Struthio camelus: one gene and its partner. The protein of the gene in region 2 purifies or fractionates together with the protein of the main gene of each other region. This does not show direct contact. Links are inferred from orthologs where the notes say so. Each region holds a gene or a part of one and is shown on either strand. Other genes may lie near its edges.

Evidence for each region.
Region 1: the proteins of TOLLIP (region 2) and CSTF1 purify together in Homo sapiens (co-immunoprecipitation; 3 studies listed by BioGRID and IntAct, with this or other methods). This does not show direct contact. The link is inferred for Struthio camelus from reciprocal best matches to the Homo sapiens genes TOLLIP and CSTF1.

What each region holds. Positions count from the first base shown.
Region 1 is NC_090959.1:12,392,510-12,401,569, reverse strand, and holds the start of CSTF1 (cleavage stimulation factor subunit 1), read right to left. Parts: upstream 4,501-9,060; 5' UTR 3,541-4,500; coding exon 3,421-3,540; intron 2,807-3,420; coding exon 2,633-2,806; intron 1,867-2,632; coding exon 1,671-1,866; intron 274-1,670; coding exon 1-273. Other genes in the region: AURKA (aurora kinase A), read left to right, coding at 5,118-5,171, 6,322-6,604, 7,195-7,273, 8,017-8,208. UniProt on the Homo sapiens protein: One of the multiple factors required for polyadenylation and 3'-end cleavage of mammalian pre-mRNAs. May be responsible for the interaction of CSTF with other factors to form a stable complex on the pre-mRNA.
Region 2 is NC_090946.1:17,358,651-17,368,918, forward strand, and holds the start of TOLLIP (toll-interacting protein), read right to left. Parts: upstream 4,709-10,268; 5' UTR 4,585-4,708; coding exon 4,552-4,584; intron 1-4,551. UniProt on the Homo sapiens protein: Component of the signaling pathway of IL-1 and Toll-like receptors. Inhibits cell activation by microbial products. Recruits IRAK1 to the IL-1 receptor complex. Inhibits IRAK1 phosphorylation and kinase activity.

The DNA of each region.
Region 1 (9,060 bases), on a different chromosome or scaffold from region 2:
TAGGCATAGCACTTTTGGCCAACATTCTCTCTGTATCAAGAATTTTTATTGAGGCATCAGCTGATCCTGTAGCTATTAACTGTCCATCTCTGCTATATGTAGCTACACGACATGGTCCTTTATGAGACGTGACATAACAAGTTTCGTATTCAGAAGCCTCAGGAGACATGGTCTGTACATCTGCATCAAATTCTAAGTCAATTCCTGTGCCTGGAGCTACTGTATCGGACCGCCCAATTGCATATTGAACAGCACTGTCATCGTTCTCCATTCCTGAAAAGAGAGAAGTTGATGTACTTAAAATATGCTAACTTTCCCCATAGATGGATAGGCTGTGGCCAGATCTGTGCTACAGATTTCTCTAACATGTATACGAGGCAGGTGTTAGAAGAGATAAGCCCCTACTCAACAAAGCCAGGCTAGCAGAACACATTATACAGCAACACTTCTCACGAGAAATGAGAGCTAACTTGGCTACACTAGAGCACAACACGCTCTAGCAATTTTAGCTTTGTAATTTTAACCCTGGAAATACAACCAGCAAATATAATATTATAGTAAGTACTGATAAATGCACTAATAATCACTTTGGGAAGCCCTGGACAGACCTATTGCAAGCTTTTCTACAGAACGGAGAATCAAATCTCAACACTCTTACATGAGATTTAAAGTTAAAAACGGCAGCATTTACTAAGCCTTTTAGATTTTTGTTTTACTGGATCGAGGGGAAAAAAACCCATCCCACAAACCACCTCAGCATTGCTAATAAAAATCATTACTTCTGTTCGCACCCACCCTTCAGATTTAACTTTTTGATTTCCATCATGCATCTACAGGATAAAGACAGTTCAGCACTGGAACTCGTAATAAGGCAGGATGCAAGAATTTTCAGCTATGTGCCTAACTGTGCTCATCAACCTATCACAGGTGATAGAAAAGTTTTCATTGCTTTCATCTACAAAATGACTCTTGTATTCTTATTCCAGACAGATATAAAGCTTCATATATTTAAACCCTTGGAGCTCAACTAGTTCAGGCAGCAGAACCAGTTCAATTACAATACACAGAACACATGCAGCTATGTCCAGGCCTCTTGTTTTAACAGCAGCTCAGGTATTTTGACTATATACTATGGCACAGATGTACTCTCAGAGAGAGAGAGAGAGAGAGAGAGAGAAAATAGGCTGTACCCTTGCTGAGGCCCTAGAACATGAAGCTCATTTTTAATGAGACCAGTATATAAAGGCTAATGAACATGGCCTATGGAAGGGCTTAGTTCCTTTCCTACGCTTTCAGTGAGAATGATATTGAAAATTTTTCTACCATTGACAGAGAACTGTGAGGCTCACCCTACTTCTATTACTTCTGCAGACTCAATGATCCTGTTTACTGAAGCACATTTTTAGAAAGTTGTCAGTCACCCAGGACCCTGGACAGGTAATCTCACACGCTACAGAAGTTCAAACAAACAGATTTTGCCAACAGTCACTGATCTGTTTTGCATCCAGTGCATATCAAGAGAACAAATACACATGAAAACGTTATGGTACCGCTAAACTTAAGCTTTGCATTACCCAAGTACTCTCAGTAACATTAAACTCCTACCCCAAACGGATTTAACTACAGATCTAGAAACTGAACTTTTTATGATTTTTTTTATTCTAGCTTACCTAATTTAATTAGGTGCAGCAGTTGCTCAGATGGTGCACAGACTGATTGCGGTTTTATCTCATTTATCAAGCCATTGGCAATATTTATGTACCCATCATATAGCAGCTGACTAATGATTAGTTTATAAAGTTGCTGACGATCTTTCAAGCTGACTTTTGTTCTATACATTGTTAGCAAGGAATGCCTTGGAGGGGCCTGAAATAAACAAATACAAGAGAAAAATCACATACAAGAGCATTACATATAACAACTATGACCGTTGCATAAAGTACCTCCTGCTGAGCTTCACAGTAGGAGATCATAGCTAATGCTATCATGTTTCAGGTAAGATTCAGTATTAAATAGACAAAATTAAAAAATATAGGAAAACATAAGAAATCTGTTGCACTTATTTGCTGCAGAAATGAAAACATTGCCATTAAGTAAACGTTAACCATATTAAAGAGCAATAAAGAAAATGATGCGGTGAAAAAAAATCACAGCATTAGTTAGCAAAACTATCCTGTCAGTGTCTTTCATTTAGCCTCGCTAACACCAGCAGACAGGGGGACCTGGGCACGCAGAGCTAGGAAGATGATTAACAGAGAGCATTTTGACTTCCCTGCACATTAGCCACCCTAACACATACGTTCCCCCCTTTCATCCGAGGCTTTCACATCCTCTCCACACCTCCTCCCAGCCAGCACACGCTTCTCTTCGCCCTCTACACCCTCTCCCAGCCTCGAGTAATAAGACCAATAACCAATTTCGGGGACCAATAACCAGACAGGGAGGGGGCGTGGGGGAAAGGGACTGAATGAGGGCGGGGAGAGTGCTCAGCCGGAGCACAGCGGTCACAGGGAGCAGGCTTCAGACACCGGGGGCGGACAGGCAGCTTCGGGTGGGAGCTGCAGAGGACGAAACCCGGCCAAGGCAGCGGAGACGAAAGCAAGGGAGCGCCCAGAGCAGCGCCGGTACCTACCGACCCTTCCTTCTGCCTCCCTCGCTCTCCCCCTAAAATGGCGACCGGAGCCCTGAGCGCATCGATTGGCGGCGGCGGCGGCAGGGGAGGAGGTGGCGGCGGCGGCCGAGAGCGAAGAATGCTCCTCCGCGAAGGCTGCTGCATCGAGCGCCCGCAAATCGATTGGAGGCGACTCTTGAAGGAGAGAATTGCAGCATCACGTGACAGTGACACCACGCGCGCGCCCGGGCACTGGCAGGTCCCTCCGTCACGTGAGCGGTGACGCGCCAAGCGCGCCCCGAGCGCCCTCGGTGGGGGGGGGGACGGGGGGGAGAATGGGGGGCAGCGATGGGGCGGCCGGGGGGCCCCTCGGCGGCGTCTAGCGCGACCCGCCCCGCGGAGGGCAGCGCCCCGCCGGGAGAAGGCGCAGCAGTGTTCCCGGGTGGGATGCGGGAGGCAGGCCTAGGTGACCTGCGTGGGGGAGCCCCCTGGAGCTCAGGGCCGGGTCTTAGCAGGAGGGTGCCTCGTCTCAGGAGACCCGGGGCCAGGATTCTTTAGCGTCCCAGCTGCACAGCTCTGAAACGCTGCTTCTGCTGGGACACCAGTATCCCAAGCACGGGGACATCCACAGGGGCTAAAATAACAAAGTTTCTGGCATTGCTGCTCTGTGCTGCAGGCCTCTCTGATGAGTTCGACAACTTGGGCAGCACAGTAACAAGCACCTCACGCTGCCACACTTCACGGGCTCTCAGCAGGCTGAGAGCCTGTCCCAAGCGTACAAACACCACCCTCCCAAAAGTCCTACTCACGTCAGCCTCAAGAAACGGAAGTCGAAGTGGACGCGGGTCAAGGAGGGGGGATGCCATGCTACCCATGCCCCGTGGGAGCTGTCGTCTATCACATGCTGCAGCAACGCGACGACCTGACATCTTCTTTTTACCTATCCTGTATCACTTGTAAGAGCCGACACACCAGACTCGCCTTTGCGCTTGTTCTCAACGCTGCACAGCCAGTAAGAGTTGTCTTCAATCACGCTTCTTCAGAGGCTCAACGGACTCAAACTGGTTTTGGCTGTCGCTTGCCACTCAGTGGCCTGGGTCCTCCTCACAGGTGTGAGTAGGACCACTTGGGCAGCTGGCCACTGAGACAACACAACAGCCCCAAGCTCCTGTTACGCTTGCGCTCACAAACTGCACTGATCCTCCACTGTCACCGCTGTACCGCTGCCGCTCTGTGTCTCTTCAATACCTGCCGGGCTTTGGAAGCTGCCAGCAACCGCACGTCACCACTGGTGTAACACGACGGTCTGCTTTCCCCTTCACGCGTGTCTGCTGGCTGGTGAGGGTACCTCTGGCCAGGCGTCACCTCGCGGGCTGTGCGGTGGCGAGTGTCCCCTTCGCGCTCGTCCTCAAGAGCTCACGGCACGTGGAGCGCTGCCCTGGGCCGCACGTCCGGGCAACGCGAGGCAGAGGCCTGCTTCGCCCCTCTGCCTGTCCTGCGGGTCCGCCGGGCTAGGCAGCTGCCACCCGTGGCACCTTCCTCGCTGGCAGGACACAATGGCCCCGAGCCCCACTCACGCTCGGCTTCACGCGAGGTGGCAGCACAGCCTCTCCCTCAGCCCGAGCCGGAGGGTGCGTGTGTGGAGGAGGTGAGGGAAGCGGGTTCGTGCCTCACAGGATGCAGGACTAACCTGAAGCCCTTCCCCCCACAGCCGGCTGCACGCTCTGAGGCCTCAATGGCTGTGAGGAAGGGATGGTAGTTGTAGCGTTGCCACAGGTGGGTGGTCTGGACATACGCGATTTGCGTAACGGAAGACCCGGCCAAGCAGAGACTTGCGGAGAAAAGTGTGTAAACGGGGCGCCGATCCACGCACTTGGAGTACGGAAGGAGCCAGCGGCGGAGAGACGGTACGTAAAATACGCATGTAGCGCAAACACCGCCCTGGGGGCGGGCGAGTTGGCCCTACGCGGGATACGCAGCAGGCTGCCGTTGCGCATGCGCCCCAGAGGCTCACCACGACGAAGCGCAGCCTCGCAACGAGCGGAGCGTTTGGCGAGCCAATGGACGGGCGGGTCGGTGAAGAAGGAGCCAATCAGCGGGCGCGGACGGCGGGAGACGGGCCAATGGAAAGAGGCGGTAGTTTAAAGGGTATTTAAGGGAGGGCGGTTTGAATTCAAACAGCGTTGGCGGCCGGAGGGAGCCGAGGCCGGGGGTGAGCGGGCGCCCGGAGCCCGCGGCGGGGATGGGGCCCGGGGCCGTGTCGCGGAGGGCCGAGCCCGCGGGCGGTGCTGCCGGGAAGCGCAGGCTGGGAGCCGGGGGCAGGGTGCTGCGGCGCGGGAGCGCAGGCCCGGCCGCAGAGGCCGCCCGGCCCGCGAGGGAGCGGAGGGGCGCAGGCGGGGAGCGTCGGAGGGGAAGATGCGAGGCGCAGCGCTGCCCGAGGAGCTGGTCTGTGCTAACTGTGCCTCACGTGTAGGCTAACCTATATGTGCCCTTCTCCTCAGGCATCATGGACAAGAATACTAAAGAGAACCATTCTGGACACCATAGCTATGCTGCTAAGGTAAATAACTTGCTAGGTTGATTGTTCTGCTTTCTGTGATCATACAAGAGCTATAGACTTAAAACTGTGGTGACTACCACAGTTCTAAATAGTAAAAAAGGAAATTTGTCTTGAAGTAGCATTTCCTGTTTGCCAGAAACAAATTCCTATCTTTATCTTTCAGCTTCTCTTTTGGAGAGAACATTGCTCAAGGCTTGTTTGCCTTCTTGCTAGTATTGATATGTCATTCTCTAATTAAAACACTTTCCTGGTATCTTGCATATAATCTAATAGCCTTTAACTGAACAGCAAGTGCATGTGGGTAACTTATTCCAGATATGGTTTCCAAAAGCAAGTATTGTGTTAATGTCACTATTAGTATATCCATGTGGAGAGTGCTCAAGATAATCCTGACTGCATTATCTTTGCATACAGATACTTTCTCATTCTTTTAATTTAGAAACATGAGGCTTCAAAACTAGCATGAGTAAAACATATATATATATATATATGTTAATCAGGCTGTCAGTACACTTTCACTGAACTGAACCAGAAGATTAAGTAATGTCTAGGGGGAAAAAGAAGTAAAAATTATTACATAGGTATCATTAGAGGGTTTAAAATAAATGTGAGAAGCTAATTAGCAATATTTGAACTGAATTTTAGGCAAAGTATCCTAGAACAGCTAAGAATGGCTGAAGTATAAGCCTTAACTACCTGTAGCTTTCACTCCTTGGAAGGAAAAGATTAAAACCGGTTAACTAAAAATTACAGAATAAACTTTGTTCTGCTGAAATCTTCTTATGTTGCAAGGCAAATTAAGATGCATTCAAGAGAGCAGTGATTCAAAACAAAGCACAGTAGGCAAGTGGTAGGATTTGGAAGCAGGGGTCTGTCAGTCTTGCTACTGTTGACTGATACTCTTCAGACTTATGTGGAGTTCTTCCACTTGCTATAAGTGAATATGCTGTCCACAAGAAAATGTCAGCAGAGTAGTCTATAAATCAAATTTATCCTTAAAGCCTATGATCAGAATATCCTAACACCTCCCATTAGTGTGTCACATTCCCCTTTTACCCTGTCCCTAACTCATATATATGTTGTTTGAATGAGGCCATAAAGATTGTAGTATGCTCTTCCATAATTAGAATATCATGTTTTCTTTTTGAAGACTGTAAATCCCATCGGGGATGGCCCAAAACGTGTCCCTGTGCCTCAGCATTCTGCTCACAGCCGGTTACTAAGCAGTGGAGTCCAAGCACAACGTGTTCTATGTCCTTCGAACTTGGCCCAGCGAGTTCCTGTACAAACGCAAAAATCTGCACTGTCAAACCAAAAACTGTCCAACAACCAGACAGGGCAGCAGCCACGACCAAAATCTCTGGTCCAGCCAACTGCTAGGCCTCAAGTTCCAAGCAAGAACAATGAAAAACCTCAGCAGGCTCCAGGATCTGGTAATTAAGATGATGCATATGTGGTCAAATAGTTGTGACACTTGGGATGCTTCCATTCTATGAAGCAGAGTGCAGTACAAGAATTTTGAAGCTGATCTTAATGATATGTGGGAGTCTTGTACGGAAATATCTGGCTGCACCCAGAAACAGAATTGTAACGCTTGATCTTGGATGTTACTGCCAGGATTGCATGTTTAGAACTAATATGGGTGTTTCTTTGCTCTTGAAAAACTTCCAGCTACTTATTAGTCAACTGTGAATTAAAGAAATTGGCACTAATTCATCATGATCTTTATTACCAAAGATATTAAAATGAATAATAAAGTGCTGTATTGATGGTGGTGGGGAGGCGGGAAGCTTCTAAACATTTCTCTTGACTTAAAAAAGCTTTCTTGGAATTACATCTTGATAGCAGTGTAACTCAACTGCTATGCTGCCTTGCAATAGTAAGTTTATTTTTTAAAATATCACTGGATGGAATCTAAGAACTGTTGCTGATACTACACTGAGATTGTACTTGTTCCCCACATGCATTTTTTTGTACTGTGCTCATGGATTCGGTTCATAAGTTTCCCCTTATTCATATATAGCAAAAAATACTGAAGCAGAAAGCACATCTAAACAGAAAAATGAAGAGACCACTAAAAAGAAAAATGAAGAGACAAAGAAGTAAGTTGTTGTGTTCCTAAATGCTCCTAAATGCTAACAGAGCCCCATTTAATTAGGCTTTCTTTTAACTTCTAGGACTACATGCTACAACTAAGGAAATTAGCTGTAGATAAGTTCTAGTTAAGTACTCCAGCCCCTTGATTGAGAACAGTGTCCCAACACTTCATAGCTATAACATTTCTTAATGAAACTCTGGGAAAGCTTACTTGGACCTGAAAATTCTCAGGAACTGGAACTCCCTGTCATCTAAAGAAAAGCTTTTTGCTAAAAGATAACTCCCATAAGATAACTCTGATAAACACTAATCTAGTCACAGGATGTACAATTGAAAAATATGCCTCCTTCGTATGTGCAAGAGGTTGGAATCTGATTAGGGATGAATGAGACTCTTAGTATGGCTAGCTCTAAAACACAGTTCTGACATGCATTAGTAAGTGCGTGTGTATTAACTGTACTGAAATGTGCCTGGCTTGGTACATGCAGTTTTGACTTTTTTGCAGTAACACGTGGCTGATGTTAGCATCTCTACATGTAAGCTTTAAGAAGGAAGAGCCCAGCTTTCAGGCTTCTCTTCTGAAGTCTCAATGCATGTTTTGTTCTCTTGGTGGTGTTCCCTTAAGTACTACAATCTAGCTCAGGTCAGGAAGTAGTCTATTGAACATAAATGCTATTAATGTAAACCCAGAATACAAAAACTGGATACTTTGTGTGACTTTTGATACTTTAACCATATCTTTTTACAGAAGGCAGTGGTCTCTTGATGACTTTGAAATTGGTCGACCTTTGGGGAAAGGAAAATTTGGAAATGTATACCTGGCACGTGAAAAGCAGAGTAAATTTATTCTTGCATTGAAAGTGCTATTTAAAACGCAGTTGGAGGAAGCTGGAGTAGAACATCAGCTACGCAGAGAAGTTGAAATACAGTCTCATCTTAGGTAAAGTTCAGTAAACAATTATGGTTTTGGCCTAGCTTGTGGCCAAAGCAAAAAAACATAAAATAAGTTTGTTTCTGGTAACGTACAGTGACCTTTTGAAGACGAGGGCTATTTAAAAAAAAAAAATTCTCCCACCCTTGATATTGTTGTTAAGATTCTTGCCTGTCTGCACAAGAGTATAAATATTACCTTTGTCTAGTTTGCTGTGAAGCAACTACAGTAATAAAAATCTATCTTTCCCTGTTCCTGTTGGATTTATAGGGGTAACTCTGCAACTTCTCAGGCATCTAAGCTTGATTCTAGTGTTTAGCTTCCTGGAAAATAGGCCTAACTTGCCGAACAAATTGTGTTCCACAAAATCATTTCAAGCCTTTGAACTTGAATTCCAAAACAAAAGGAATAGGCACTTTCTAAATAGTAATCTAATCTTCCAGGTGCTGTAGAAAGATATGCTCAGGAAAACGTGCATTAGCTTAACTCTTGGCCAGCCTTCCTCCAAGACGGAGCCTAAACTGTTCCTATGATAATTAGCGCTTACCTGCTATTTAAGGTCTCATAATGGATATGTGAGGGTGAAATAATTCATGCTCCCACTAACACAAATGCTAGGGTTCCCACAGTATTGGGTTTGTTTCCCACGTTTAGCAATAGTGGCGCATAAACACATGATCATATAGCATGCCAAGAAAACCCTAGATTGCTGAGGAATACTTGCAAGATGCTGAAGACCAATGCTGACCTTTCCTGAAAGCGGTGGGAGGGGAAGCAGGAAAGGGAAATGAAGTTCATTATCTTGCCAGCCTGTAGTATGCACAGCAAAAATGCTGAGCATACACAGTAACATGAGTTTTT
Region 2 (10,268 bases):
CTAGTACAGGCTGGAGAATGACTGACAGGGTAGCAGCTCTGAAGAAAAGGACCCACGAGTCCTGGTGAAGAGCAAACTTTGCATGAACGAGCAGTGCAGTCCAGCAACAACGAAGGCTAACCTACTGTGCCGCAGCAACAAAAGCTTAGCCAGTACATTGAGAGAAGCAATTCTTCCCCTTTACTCAGGGCTCATTCGAGCACACCTGGAATACTGCATCCAGTTTTGGACCCACCAGTCAAAGAAAGGTGATAAACTTGAGCAAACCCAGCAAAGGGCCACCAAAACAGCCCACAAAAGTAGCTGAAGCACAGGACCTATGAGGAGAGGCTGAAGATTTGTCTAGACTAAAGGAGCCTTAGAGAGCACCCTAATAGCAGCCTTCCAGCCTCTGTGAGGAGGTTATCAAGAAAATAGGGCCAGGTTCTCTTCCGAGATGCAGGAGGAAAATAGACAATTGTCATAAACTGAAACAGCAGAGATTCACGTTGAAAAATCACCCACAGGGACAGTAAAGTATTGTAACAAATTGCCCAGGAGAGTTGCAGAATCTCTGTCTTCGGAGGTTTTGAAGACCCTACTGGACAAAACCCTGAGCAACCTGGTCTGTATTCAACTCTGACCATGCTTTGAGCAAGATGCTGGACTAGGCAGCCTCCTGAGGTCCCTTCTAACCTGAATTATTTTTTGATTCTATATAATTTATGTGGTAGTATGACATCTCCACTTTAGCTTCCACAGAACCGTAGTCACAGGCTCTACTTCAGCTTTTCAATTTAGAGATGAACAAAGGAAAGAATATAGCTGATTAAGTTGATTAAATTTACACACAATTTTTGTTTGTAAAATGACATCAAAATGAAAAACGTACTGGACTGAAAGATTCCAGACGTTTCTTCTCCCATTCTTATTATTCCTTCCTGTTGCCAGAAGTTCCCATCTACTTTGTTGCTTCATTTGATTCCACGTGTCTTCCCGTAAAGGCTTTGTGAATCTATAATCCTCATCTTGACACTATTTTCCCCTTCCCCCAAGTACTTGAACTATGTTTAGTTCTGACTGGATAGTTGACCACAAGCTATTTCCTCCAGATTTTCTCAGCACATCTAGATTTGTCCAGAATAGTAACATTCTCAGTCTCTCCAAAATACCAATGGATGCAATAGAAAATGATCCACTTAGAAGGTACCTTAAAATACTTTTCTGGATTTGTAAGAGAGCAAGAACTTTAAAGCGTTGTCAGTGCCATCCTGAACATTTTCTGTCAAAGGAGCGTGCCCCAGATCAAAGGACCACAGCCCTTAAGCATTAATTCACATTTTCCTTAGAATTATTTAGTGAAATCTTACTTGCTCAACTTTTTAAAGCAACTTTTGAAACCCAAATTGATTGCAGTGACGTCTTTATGACACTTTCGCCTCCATAAATTAGAATTTTAGTACTACATATACCTGCATTCTAATAAAACCAAAATAGCTAATAAAATACTCAATCGTATCCAGAATTATCAATGGCATTTCAGTGACAAGACTTTGCATTAGAAAATGCTCCTGAGACAGCATAACCTGCATTGACACTGGACAATTTAACAGCAATAGTTGCTTTGTCACCTTCGGTCAGGAGAGGAGAGGGGGAAAAAAAAAAAAAAAAAAAAGAGTACAAGACCTATGCAGTTAAATGACAGTATTAGGACAAGAACAGAGAACTAAACACATTGCCTGCCTATTAGAAGGTTTCCAATCATCAAAATAATGAATATTAGGAAAAACACTGGAGTAGAAATCTAATTAGTGCTAGGATGGCATTTGATCTAATTTTGGAGAACCTGACATATTTGCCAGCATAATGACTAATCAAGGGATCCATTTTGGGTATGCTTGGCTAACTAAGGAATCATAAATACACACAGTTTCAGTTCTCTCAGACTTAACTCTGCAGCCCAATTGGACTAGTTGGAAATCTCTCTCACTGCGAAAAGGTATCATTTAACAGCCATTACATAGCCAGCTATAGCTTTCAGCTTTCAAAAGCTGTTCAAAGATCACACAACAGGAAATCATGCTGATTCCCTACCTTCATGAAAATAGCTAGAGAAATTCTAGCAGAATATTTACCAACAGGCAGAAAGAATTCTAGTTCCTTTACAGCAAAAAGTGTTAAAAATTAACAGTAATAATAAGTGTTAATTAGTAACCAAAAAAAGCATAACTAGAAATCACAGGTATAAGAACAATATCAGCAAATGTATGGTAGTGTACTTTATTTTCTTATCTGCTGGAAACAACTAAGTATTTTCTTGCCTGTTCAAACAGAAAGAGACAGGAGTATCCTTCACTGCAGCGCTGAGAGAAATATTTTCTAGTCCTTTAGCACCATTTAGTGGCTATTCATTTGTAATGCAGCCTTATACAGAAACAAGTAGAACTGCATCTTCTGCTCCAGAGAAAAATCAGGAAAGGCAAGCATGTACTAAATGAGCGTTCTCAGTTTCAAATGGCAGCTTTTTTAAATACTGCAGGATTTAGTCATTCATTTGAAGACATTCAGACCTCCAAAGTGGTGAAGAACAATGAGAAAAGCATGCACAATAATGTTAGAACATAAGAGAGAAAAACTACGTGGACCTTTCAAATTGGCAGGCCTAAAGTCAATTCTAAGTAACAAGTATTTCCAAGAGATTATACAGGACTATCTGGGTACTTCTAAAATAGAATGACATCTAGAAGAATATTCTAAATGTAAGGAGATTGAGTTCCTTTAAACACTTGAGACAAACTATAGACAGATATATTTAAACAACTGCAAGTCTATAGCCAAGTCCAAAAGGTTCTCACTAAACTCTTAACCCAACAGGAGGATTTCACCAAACTAAAGCAAGCAAAGATTAGAAGTGCTCTACTGAATATGAACAAGGTACGAAGCACAATAGGCAAGTAGAACTTTTTTCAATAAGAAATATCACTCCTGTAGGGACAGAAATATCTGTACAATTTCATCTCTCTGCAAATCAGGGAGACTACTGTTCCAGCTTTAACCACTTAAGTTGTTAACACCTCCTTCAACCCTCACCTCCACATCAATTCCCTTCAGCCTCCCCATCCTTTTCCAAACACAGACTAAGGGATAACTAGAAGTGAAGTTACTTTTAAACAAAGTCGCATTATTTTGTCAAGTATTTATATTATTTTGCCTTTTTGAACAAACCTGTTACATATTGACAGAATTGTGCTGGGTTCAATCACACAGTCAACTCAACCACCAAGCCTCTGCGGGTAGCAACTACCTAATCCACCACAGATTCAGTCAGAACAACAACCTGCATCCTGCCATGCTGTTATCCAGAAACAGCAGAAAGCTTAATTCACCCATTTTACCTTAACTCTCCATTTAAAACTTTTATTCTGGCAACAGAGCTATCATCAGAATGTGCTGAAAAGGCATCTATTCTTGAAGAGCAGACAAATAAGGCATTTTAATGAATTATGTTAATAATCAAACACAGATCATCAAACATCAGACACAGATGCTGCTTTTCCAGAATAGCAATTTAGTAACTCGCTCCTGTTGGCCTTTCAGCAAGGCTGCATAGAAGATTAAAAAAAAAAAAAAAAAAGCTTTCTAGGAAATAAAATACAACAGTTTATGTTAAAAAAAAAAACCTTACTTTACCAGCAAAGCAGCAACGTATTGCCTGTTACTACCAGATCCTCCCAGAGACAGGGAACATACAGAAATAGCACATCAATGGAGGATAGGTGTTATACTACAGGGTTATACTTCATATCCGCAGTAAAGCATCCTGGCATTGGGGACTATTATTCCAGGGCATAACTAGACTATAAGACTTCCCAATAAACCATCAACACAAACTCCCAGAGACTGCTAAACTGGTTTTAAAACTGTTCAGTCCCCTCTCCCCCCCCCAGCTGCATATTACCGTGGCATAAGTCTTTCAGCATTTTGTTTCACGTTCTAGCTTTCAGTTGTCAACGCCAAGACGGGGATTACAAAAACTGCCGTCTGAAACTGCGCAGCCCACCCATGGTACTACAAGGCTCTACTCCACTTTTAAGAGAAAGAGCTTTGCTTCAGTTTAGATCGTTCCCTTCCTTAGAAGGGCCACAGACAAAGAACAAGCAGAATAGCCTCTCCAAGCCCCGCATGCACAGACGGGGGACTCCCCCCTCCCTTCTTTCCCAAAGCCTTTTCGCAAGGCGGAGAGCTGAGAGAAGAGGCAGACTCCCCCCCCCGCCCCCCCCCCCCCACACACCCAACAGTATCATGGCAGGCTGGAGATGGAGGTCTTTCCTCTCCTCTCCCCCGCACCCCCTTGCTATGGGCTGCGACTGGGGGAAGGGAAGGAGGCAAGAAGGGTGAGTCACCTTCCCACTGAGGCCCACTAGCAGGAGTCGTGTCGAAGACGGGGAGGACAGAGACTGAGGCCCAGGAGGGTCCAAGCCGGGCCTCGCCAGCCCAACCCAGGACACTCGTAAGGATAAGAGGATAAAATCTTCCCTAGGACCTAACAGCAACCTTCGAAGCCGCACTCACCGGGCCCCGCTGGGTAGTGACAGTGGTCGCCATAGCGCCTCCCTCGCACCGAGACCCTTCCTTTCGCCCCGCCAGGCCGCCGCCGCTGCTACCGTTACTGCTTCAACAGCCGCCGCTAACCGTCACTCAGCGCGAGACTCCCGAGTCAGCTGATCCCGGCCGCGCCCCGCCCACCTCCTCCCTCGGCGCCGCGCGTGCTTCCAGCACCGCGCTGCCCCCGCCCCTTCTGGTGGTTTCCAAAGACACTAGGCACGCAGCGTCGCACGCATGCGCCTAAACGCCAACGGGCCGGGGGGGAAGAAGGGGGAGGGAAAACGCGCCTTCCCCCTTCCCCCCCCCCGGCCCCTTCCTGCGCATGCGCCTATCGCCTAACCGGCAGGAGGGGGGAGAACGAGCGAGCTTGTCGTGCGCATGCGCCCTGCTGCTCTGCACCCTGCGCAAGGGCGGCACGGCCGCGCGGGGGCGCCGCGGCTCCGGCGAGGGGCGGCTAATGGCGGCGGCGGCCGAGGGGGTGTGGGGGTTTCGTTGCCGCCCCCGGGGTTCCCCCCCCCGCCTCTTCCTGCAGCTCTCCGGGCGCGGAGGGGGATTGCCGTGCCTGGCAGTCCCGGGCTTGTCCACAGGCGGGTGGGACGCGGGGGAGGAAGCGGCTTTTTTTTTTTTTTGGCCTCGCCCTGCCCTGTCGTCTGGGTAGCTGGCCCCGTTTTAACCGTTTTTCCGAAGGTTGTTGGCGTTTGACCTCCTGCGGCTGGCTGCGCCCGTGCAGGCTTTTCCAGAGCAGAAGCAGCTTTAATATTCACCTCAGTGCTGCTCTGGGAGATAAAATCTGATCATTTCAAAGCCTATTTAAATAGCATAACCGTTTCCTGTTGTTAGGATCTGCTGCATGAATTTGCTCTGTTAATTAAAATTCTAGTGCAGATTTCAGCAGCTGGAAATAGAACAGTGCAATTAGGAACACGCCAAATATAGCACTGATTTTTTTTTTCTCCCCCCACAGTGCCATAACTTTTACGTGTGGCGGGAAGGGCCTCATCTTTTTACTTGTGTCTTGATACTCAGAAAAATGAGTACTGCAGGATATAATTGATTAGGAGTCATTGAACAAAAATAGTCGACGCCAGATGCAAGTCAGCGAGCCAGTAAAAGAGAAAGGCTGCAATAAGCTCTGCTGCTGCTACCAACAGTTCCTCTGTTGGAACTAGAATTCAAGTCAACCTACAGAACCGTGGATGAAGCAAATAATCCTTCCCTTGTCCCTGCCATCGGAAAAGAGGCTCAAACCTGAAAAGACGTGATTGTGGTTTTAAAAAAGAAAGGTGAATTCACCCCTCTTATTTTTGGGGTTTAAGAAAAGATCGACTACTACAAACTGAGGCCGTGAGTCACTCAGACACCAGTGAGCTGTTACTCGTATCCAGAGACTGTGGGCGTAGACATTTTTGCAGGGGATAAGGGTTTATTTTCTTGGAGGAAGGTAAAGGGACCTGATTTTTTCATTGCATAGGCCTTCCAGCAGAGATAGTGCAGTACAAGAAGGGGGCAATGCAATGTAAAATTAAGTCAAGTGATTATAGTTTAAGAACATTTCACATCTTACAGTGTCAGATGTGCAGCCTGTTAGTATGAAGCTTATGTCAATACATGCAGTTACATTAGTTTATAACAAATGCTGTGTTGGTATAGCCTCTTTTGGTAGATTAAAAGAAATAAACATTGCTTCTCTAAATTCTGTGCACCGTATAACTATATACATGCAAGAAAGCTTCAGTGATTAAATGCAGAAGTCTTTAAAGCCAGCATGGTTAAAATGGTACAAAAACCCCATACAGGTGAGGGAAGAAAATCAGTGCTTATCTTCATAATTACAATCTTCTGTCATGAAGGAAGGTTGGAGGGAAAAGAATATTAACAAATCTTAACAGCTATTCCTATGTCTATACTACAGAAGCTAGGAAATAACAGTTTATTGTAACTGTTCCTGGCTTATTTACTTACCTGTGTATCACTCTAACTAAGGAGAGCTGGGAAAGTCACAAGAATTTCAGACATTAGACATGAGGTAACATTATTGTCTCTATATAATTTATTTCAACAGAAAAAAGGGTAGTAGTATTAATTCAGAGATTCCTGAGATTTATATTCCTCGCACATAGAGATTTGCAGGGACTAGAGTGAACATTGTGCATACCTAACTACCACCATTTTCTAAGTGCATCTTTTATTTCCTTTTTTATTATTATTCTTCCTAGGAAATAAACTTTTTCCAACATAGAATCTACTCACTTAATTTTAATCACCTTTTTCAATCTGTGCAGTAAAGGATCTGTTGTTAAACCAGCTCTCCTTAGGTTATATTATTTTCTGAAGGGGTCCTGAAAACCCTACAAAAACACCAGTTTTGCCATCTGGTGGACATCCACAAGAATAGCAAGTAGCCTTCCACCAGGAGAGACAGGTGTTCTTGTTTCCCCAAGTGCAGTATCACCACAAATAGGAAGCACTGGTGCAAAAACATTAGGCAAGGCTTCTGAAGTGAATCTGTAATTAAAGTGGGAATGTAAGCCGTGGGAAAGGTGAGAGAACAAAAGTCATAAAACCTTGTTACCCGGAACAGATGGGCATCATTTAAAAAAAAAAAGGTTGAAAGGTAATTAAAGAAGCTATAATGACAATAAATTACATTTATCTTGTCATAAAAATTGAAACGTCAGTTTCTCCTATATCTTTTGTTCTGATTCTCAGTCTCTTTTCTGTCCTTTTCAGTTCTTCATCTGTCCATAGTCTCCCCTTCCCAAATCTTCTTTTTCCCTTTGTTCTCTGTTCTTTCCTATATGCTTCCACCCCTTTTGCGCCTCCTCTCAATCCTCTCTTTTGCTCTGACCCTCTGTTTAGTCCCCTACATTCTTCTCTTTAAACATGCTTCCTACAGATTTGTCGCAAGTCTCTTTCTTGAAGTTCCACTCTGAGTTTTCGGTTCCTGTCCTTCATAACCTTATCTCCTTGTTCCTGAGCAAGAGGCAGCTCATGTTTCTGAGATCTACATATGCTGCTTTGCTAATATCAGGACGAGTGCCACAGATAATTATTACCTTCACTGAAACCTTTACCTGGTGGGGTCATTAATGTGGTTTATTCCCTATATCTTATGAAATTTATAAGAGTTTAGTATCTCTGCAACCAGTAAGTAAAAATTAATGGAAATTGGACACAAGGTTCAAAAGTTCCTGGGGGACATGCAGAGACAAAGAAATATATGTTCACATAGTGTGATTGCTTGAAAATTATCAAGTAGGCATTCCTCCCTAGAGCGGCTCCAGAATCTGGAAGTGTAGATATTCTATATGCTTTTCTTCATAAAACAGAAACTGATGTTTCATCGAGAGAACAGACAAACGCACACAGCGCTGCCCTCCACTGAGGAACGGTTACAGCAGAATTCTTGCCAAATCCATTTTGTACTTGTTCACAAAACCAGAACGGACACCCCAAAGGCTGAGGAGAGCCGAATGCTATGGAGGAGATAGGGAACAGGAAGTTAGAGTGGGACAGTGTCCAACTTTTTGACGTGTATTTATTTAGCGCTCAGCATTGGTATTTAGCTCCAAAACTGAAATCTATCAGTTCCATAAAAATATAATAATTAGTGTGATGATAGCTGTATATTTGTACCTCTTCAGCAGTGCCCTTTTAGGAAAGTCAAGTGTACCAATTTACTTAAGATAAGCATCTTTACCCTCTTAAGATGTATGGCAGAATCCTTCAATTAGTAAGTCAAGTTCAAACTGTTAGCTAATCTCTTTTCCAGGTAACCTTCACAAGCAAATTGGATGGTTAAGCTTTATGCCATTTTCTATCTTGATAATGAGCTCCTGTCATGATACCAAGGGAGTTCCCACAGTCATTTAAACCCAGTCTGTTTGTTGGCACTCACAAAGACAGTGGAGTCACAGGAGTGCGTTTTTGAATGCCTTCGTAGCTGAACTAAAGCTGGCGCATAAAAACAGAACAAATCATAGCTGTGCCGTTTAGTTCGCGGACATTAATTTGGGCACTGCAGAGCTTGGAGATGGATCTCACAGGAAAATAGCAAAACAAGTTTTAGGTTAAGTTTTGTAGGTTTTATAAGCCTACAAGAATACTGCAGGATGGATATGCATCACTTTTTGGGTGTCAGGCAAGACCAGCCCCTTTTGCCATGTCCCCTGAGGGCTTCAGATGATTCTGCTGCATGGGAAAAGGATGCATCTTTTACAAACTGCACAGCCCAGTTCCACCACTTTCTTGCAGTCACTCAAAGCCCAGTTGGAGGTAAGCAGAAGACAAGGCTGAAGGTGAAGGGCTTCATGGATCCAGGCCATTCCAGAGTGGAAGTGCAGGAAAAGGAAAGGGATGTTGCAGGCTTCAAGCTACATAAAAGCCTGTGGAGTCCTGGTGTGCTGAGCTCAGCTACTCGAGATGTATTTGGCCTTACCTAGGTGCTGAACACAGCACTGAACACACAACAGAGTTCAATGCTAATCCTTTGTTCATGGTACCAGCTCAAGCTTGGTGATGCACAACAGAGCTGAAACAATAACATGGAAATCCCAGATGGTATTCAGGCTGGCTGTAACGAACAATAATTTCCACTTCAGTACCATGCAAGGAACTCACAGTGCATTGCAAGCTTTAATTAATCCTCACAGTCCAGTTGGGATGCAGAAGGATTACATCCCTCATCACCGAAAGAAAGAGCTCCAGCATGAAACATGGCAACTCTGTAACATACACAACACCACTACCAAAGAATTTTAGCCAGGGTGCATACTGAACTGAAATTACAGGGGAATTTAAGTGAATACAATGAAGAGAACAAGAATTAAAAGTAAACGGAAGCTCAAAATCATCCCCCTCGCCGACACCAGGCCATGAAACAGAGACATTAGAAAAAATAGCAGACAACTTACCGCAATCACAACCACAGCATAATTTCATACCACAGGGTCATAGTTACTGATTGAACTAGATTAGTATTGGCAAAAGTGTTGTTCAAGCAATTGCGGGGGATTCTAGCAGAAAAACTGAAGCTGCTGCCGAGCAGCTAATAAGTGGCTGTTCTTCAGTCATGCTGCACTCAAAATAGCTTTCCAACAGGGGAAAAGCAAATTCTATTGCCTTCAACACCTGGTTGAGCAACTTAATAGGGACAAAATTGAAAGTTAGAGCTGAATCATTATTTATTTTATAACTACATCTTCATCACGCAGTCCACTCCAAGATGGGAGTTATTTCATTTCAAATCAAGTTCATGCCAGGTTTTTCTGTAGGCTTATTCAGCACAAAGGTGAGGAGAAGGTTCTTTGAAAACAATTTCAGATGGCAGCTGCTTCAGAGGAGCAGAGCAATCTGCAATCATCAGGAAGAAAATTTTTCCCTTTTCTCCAGTTCCCCTTTGCTTTTCCTGAACTGTATTTCTGAAGTGTATTTATAATGCACGAGGAAAATGGTAGAAGTGCAAAGACTATATTTAGCGCTATTTGGGTAACATGACAATTCCCAGAGAGTCTATCAAAAGTGATAAGAATAGTTATGTGAGCAAAATGAACAGGGCTCTGTCCCGTCTACAACAGACAAAGAAATCAGCTTATTCCTCTCCACACTGATATTACCTCCTATGTATTTGAAAACTGCTGTTATTTTACCTCTCAGTTTTCTTTTCTCTGAAGTTCAGCTGTTCG